Linked DNA regions of Cricetulus griseus. The protein of the gene in region 1 purifies or fractionates together with the protein of each later gene. This does not show direct contact. Links are inferred from orthologs where the notes say so. Each region holds a gene or a part of one and is shown on either strand. Other genes may lie near its edges.

Region 1 (2,128 bases):
CTGGGCCTGACTGGCAGCTTGGCACAGGGCTGCCATGCTCCAGCCTTATCTCCTGATCCATTATCTCTCTTGATAGTCACCTTCCAAGAGTGTCACCAGCACCCAGAGCAGGCGGGCAGATGGCTCAGTACAATTTAAGCGTTTTGCTTTTCTGCAGATTTTGGTCGATTTATAAACTGCAGGCCTAGGGAGGCGGCACGGAGCATCAGGCGTTCCCCCAAAGCAGGTTTTGGTTGCCGGAGGACATTCCCGACTATTTCAGAAGAACTTGGTGAGTCTTCCCCCACCAATCATATAGCCAATATTTATTATACAGCTTTGGATTTCACAATGACATTTTGATTCAAGCATATTATGTAGTTTGACCTTTCTAATTCCTTCATTAGTCTTCCCTGCCCTCCCTGCTAGAGCCCTTCCTCTTTCTGGTTAGATCCTTCTACCTTTATGACACATAGATATATGCACATGTATAGATACATCTTAAGCAATCTTAATGATCTCGAAGCCCCCCACAGCGAGTCCTGTGTTCTTCAAATCAACCAGCCTCATTTTTTCTTTTCTTCTCTCCCTTTTCTCTCCCTCCCTTCTTCTCCTTCTCTTCCTTCCCTCTCTCCTTCTTTCTTTCTTTCCTCTACTTCTCTTCCTTCCTTCCCTCCCTCCTTCCATCTTTTCTCCCCTCTCCTCCTCTCTCCTTCCCTCATCTCCTTCCTTTAGTTTTCTTTTTTATGTGTTTATTTTAAGATGGGGCCTTATATATCCCAGGAAGGTCTTAGGTTTACCCGGTAGGCAAGACTGGCCTTGAATTCCTGACCCTCCTGCCCCCAACCCCCAAAGTGCAGGAATCATAAGTGTGTTCCACCTCAGATATCTTCTTAAATAAATTGGAAATCATTTCACTTCCTTCACAATTAGTAGAGGCCTCTCGGGAGAAGAGGAAGCCCAAAGAAAGACAGCACCTGAGAGAACTTTATCTCAAGTACCCCAAGGCTCCGCCTAGTCCCCTGGGTGATGAGGGATGGGAAACAAAAGCCCTGGCCTCTGGGTTAGAAACAGCTAGGTTGCTTACCTCACCACAAGCAACCAGCTCCCGAATTTGATTTTTGAGAGGAACTGTGGTTTGAAAGAAGAGTTCTAGCTTTTTTTTTTTTCTTTTTTTTTTTTCTTAGCTCCCCTGAGCCGTGCTGTGCTCCTCTAACTGTGCTCCCCGACTCCGGAGTCGGGGCTATTTCTGGTGTTGGCGCTGCTCCAAGAAGGCCATCACAGCCAGTGCCCCCTACTGTCCCGTAGAGAAGGAAGATGAGCGAGTCCAGTTCAAAGTCCAGCCAGCCTCTGGCCTCCAAGCAGGAGAAGGACGGGACTGAGAAGCGAGGCCGGGGTAGGCCGCGCAAGCAGCCTCCGAAGGAGCCCAGTGAAGTACCAACACCAAAGAGACCTCGGGGCCGACCAAAGGGAAGCAAAAATAAAGGTGCTGCCAAGACACAGAAAGCTACCAGAGCTCCAGGGAGGAAACCAAGGGGCAGACCCAAGAAACTGGAGAAGGAGGAAGAGAAGGGTATCTCCCAGGAGTCCTCGGAGGAGAAGCAGTGACCATGCACAGTGCCGCCTGCTCTTTGGCCATCGAAGGAGCAGCTTTCCCTTGGGACTGGAAGCCCTGCTTCCAGGCCCCTCCCCACCCCCACTGCACACTACCGCACCAGCTGCAGGCTCTGGGGGCACCGACCTGAGCAGGATTTGGCTCAGCCCATGTGCTCTCCCAAACACACCTGCCCCCTCCCGACAAGGCTAACTTCCCATTTAGCCGCAGCCTGTGGTGCTGCGCACCTCTCTTAGAGAGAGTGGTCTCTGGGCTCTTTGTTTTGCAGGCCCTTTCTGCTCTGCTCTTCCCGGCTTCCTTGTAGAGGGAGGGTCCTGAGAGCATTCCCTGGCTTTAAAGGGCCGCAGCCCCATCTGACAAGTCCCATTGACTGGCCTAGCATCAGGTGTGGTCAGTACTGGGATGCTTAGATCCCAACATGCCCTCCCCTACCAAACTGTCACCAGGTGGGTTTCTCAGCCACTTCTGCCCCACCTTACCTAGGCCCTGACTAGGTTGGCTAGAGCCCCTTGGGCTACAGGAAGTAGGACATGA
Region 2 (3,452 bases), on another chromosome or scaffold:
ATAACCACAGGTGCATCCTGTTTTCCAGTCCTGGCTTACAGCCCCAGCCTCGCCCCACTAGCATCAACTATACCTGGGAAAATACTCACTCTTACACCTGGGGTTTCTCCACTGTGCTGTAAGTGTATATAAGGCAGCTCTCCCCCTGGAATAAAGTCAGACAGACGCACATAGCACAAGCGGCCAGACGTCTCTTCTAATTAAATCTCCAGGCTTTTGCCTGATACTTGGACTTAGTCGCGGCTCAGACACCACAATTTTACATATGGACAGCAGATTTGGAGGTTGAACAACTTTTCCTGGGTAACAAGCTGACTCACTTTCCCCGATGAATGCCCAGGACCCACACCAGTGTCATTCACTCAAGACTAAAAGGCAATGGTATCACTGTATCTAGGCAAACACAATGCCAATATGTTTATCATAGACAACTGGAAAACCAAAGCTAAGTTGTGTTTTCCCACTGAATATAGTCTTTCTAGAATCAGTTGATGACGCTCTATGACAAGTGACTCAAGAAGTTCAAGTATTCTTTATTCAAAGTTGAAAAATGTACCATACTGCATTATTGCAAAAATTCACTGGTACAAAACACTTTGCAGCTGGTGAGAAGGCAATAAAAAGTTGATTTTTTAAAACTCATTACTATAAATTACTGTTACAGTACTTTGCAAATTCAGAATTTCAAACTGCATTTTCTTTTTCTAAATTGCCCACAGTCCTCAAGGTTCCTGAAGCTAAGGCAGCTGTTTCAGAGGAGGGAAGAGGTAGGAGATGTCAAGGGATTTCCATTTCTCTTTCGATGCCCACATACTTCAGGGCATCAGCCTGGCTGTATCTGAAACAACATGAACAAGAAGTGACTACTGTCCAATATTAGGAAAACCAAGCCTGTTGATGGAGAGGATTATGTCATGACAACTCGCAGACCCCGTCACTCAGCTGCATTCATGAAGAGGAAGCATGCAACTGTCACTCCTCAGTCCCACAGCCCTCCCTGTGCCTTTGTGGCACTCTACTGAGCCAATTCCACATTGTGATGTCTGTGTCTAATACTGAAAAAGCAAAATTAAGATCTGGAAAGTCCCATCACTAAGGAAGCTGGACACCTTTGCCTGTAACCCTGGTCCACTGAGAGCATGCACGAGACACAGCATGAGGACCCTATTCCAATCCCCAGGTGTCACTCACTTAATTCTCTCCAGCTATACAGTACAATGTACTAGAACTAAGCAACACAGGCCCCCATTTCAGCAACTAAAGTTTCTAGGTGGGGTGGATATTCAGTTACAAGAATTCTCTAACTAGATATCTTTACTTGACCACATTTAAGTAACTGTTTTGTCATGTTTGTCCCACAGCCAGGTAGAACACACTGCCAGCCTGCCTGTCTCCTGCCTGTCTCCTGCCTGCGGAGCTCTACACTGTCAGTTGTACTAGCTTCCCCAAAAAGATTCCACAGTGACCACAGGGTAACGACAACAATTAAAGCAATGAAGATAGATACACAAACTGCACCAATGAGAAAGGGTGCCTTAGAATACCGACGTGAAGTGAGACATAAGACCCAGGGGTCACAGTCATCAACAGCCGGGAGTTCAACGCAGCTTCCTGCGTGGGGTTTGTTTTTTCAAATAAGCATTATATAATTAACACATGGCAACCTATATTGAAGGAGCATTTAACTCCCTTCTGGTGTCCACAGCAATCAATGACTGGCCAGTTCAAAGAATGCCCTCTCCAATGACAGCAGATCAGGCAAAGAACTTAACGGCCTTTGACCTCAGCCCACAGTACAGGAAGGGAAAGCCTGCAGATTATACTAAAAGTTTATTTTACCAACCTGTAATCAAAAAACAGCTCTTCACCAGTCTGGATAGCTCTCTTAGCAAAGATGCCTATCCTGTGATCACCGTTAACCATCATAACTGGAAGGAGAAACACGGGGCTGGTGAGCATGAAGACAGGCCATGGCGGGTAACTGACTTCACACAGCAGGTGCCCCAGAGATACTGAAGTCTGCTATCACTTGGCTGGTAAAAAAGGGAATTTTTTGCATCAAATTGGCAGTGCCAACCTAAAAGCCTACCTTTTGCATAGCAGTTTGGATTTACTGAATGATTAGCAAAACGAATTTTGTTGCCCTTTCGGGTTGCGTCCACCACAAAATCTAAAAAAACAAAAGAAAACAATCCAGTGACTAATTGCAACCATGGACTAAAGTTGTTATGGTTTTAGAAACAGGTCTTCAGGATTTGACCTCAAAAGCAAATAAAACATTCAATACAAAATGACATTTGGAAGAAAATACTATTCTACATTAAAATGAATCCCTGGTGGCTAAATATGGCTCTCAAATGCCACGACTTCTCAATTATATGTTGCTGAACAAAACATGCCTAAAAAAAAAAAAAAAAAAAAAAAAGGATTCCTGCCGAATTTCTGTGAATATCAAGAAGTAGGCATATTGAGATTTAAGATTAGAATATTTCTATGGAACATTTTCATAAAGAAGAAAGAAAACATGTTCTATTTGTCCAGCTGAAAGTTTCTCTGAATATCTGTATTACCAACCCTGGCTGAGGTAGCTGCTGCTTTCCTCACAACCTGTGGACAACACCCTGGGCCACAAGGTTTCCACATGCTGCCTGTGCTCCCAGATCAGAGATGGTGACTAACCGGGTGCTGAAGCTACTCAGCCCCCAAATCCCAGGGAACACAAGACAAACTACAGCTGTGGGGGAGACAATGTCCCCTCACAGCCAGAGTGTCTGGGGCTCCTTGTTTCCTGCATATAACCCTTCTACTCCATGGGGACTTCCCCTCTCCTCACACATCCCTGAGCCTAGGCCTGGTGATAAAAAAATCCCAGGAGCTGTTCCTGTAGACACATGCCCCTTCCTGGCATCTTGCTGACTTCCAACCTGAAATGCTCAGCCAGCAATCAGATCCCAAACCACCTCCAAGGAGCTAAGTGCCTCCAGCTCAGCACACACCACTGTTCAAGGAGCTAAGTGCCTCTAGCTCAGAACACACCACTGTTCAAGGAGCTAAGTGCCTCCAGCTCAGAACACACCACTGTTCAAGGAGCCAAGTGCCTCCAGCTCAGAACACATCACTGTTCAAGGAGCCAAGTGCCTCTAGCTCAGAACATATCACTGTTCAAGGAGCTAAGTGCCTGCAGCTCAGAACACACCACTGTTCAAGGAGCTAAGTGCCTCTAGCTCAGAACATATCACTGTTCAAGGAGCTAAGTGCCTCCAGCTCAGAACACACCACTGTTCAAGGAGCTAAGTGCCTCCAGCTTAGCACGTACCGTTGTTCAAGTTGAAAAGGAAGCTGCACATATACTTGTCATACACTTTCCCTCTTCTGTCTGCTTCATCCTGAGAAATGATCTAGAAGGAAGACACAGGAGGAAATTGTTTGGAGTAAGTAGTCACACCTGTTAG

The links.
Region 2: the proteins of high mobility group protein HMG-I/HMG-Y-like (region 1) and Ezh2 purify together in Homo sapiens (affinity purification with mass spectrometry; 3 studies listed by BioGRID and IntAct, with this or other methods). This does not show direct contact. The link is inferred for Cricetulus griseus from reciprocal best matches to the Homo sapiens genes HMGA1 and EZH2.

What each region holds. Positions count from the first base shown.
Region 1 is NC_048596.1:201,330,189-201,332,316, reverse strand, and holds high mobility group protein HMG-I/HMG-Y-like, read left to right. Parts: upstream 1-1,219; 5' UTR 1,220-1,296; coding exon 1,297-1,587; downstream 1,588-2,128. UniProt on the Homo sapiens protein: HMG-I/Y bind preferentially to the minor groove of A+T rich regions in double-stranded DNA. It is suggested that these proteins could function in nucleosome phasing and in the 3'-end processing of mRNA transcripts.
Region 2 is NW_023276806.1:222,414,143-222,417,594, reverse strand, and holds the end of Ezh2 (histone-lysine N-methyltransferase EZH2), read right to left. Parts: intron 3,399-3,452; coding exon 3,317-3,398; intron 2,171-3,316; coding exon 2,090-2,170; intron 1,929-2,089; coding exon 1,844-1,928; intron 839-1,843; coding exon 778-838; 3' UTR 514-777; downstream 1-513. UniProt on the Homo sapiens protein: Polycomb group (PcG) protein. Catalytic subunit of the PRC2/EED-EZH2 complex, which methylates 'Lys-9' (H3K9me) and 'Lys-27' (H3K27me) of histone H3, leading to transcriptional repression of the affected target gene.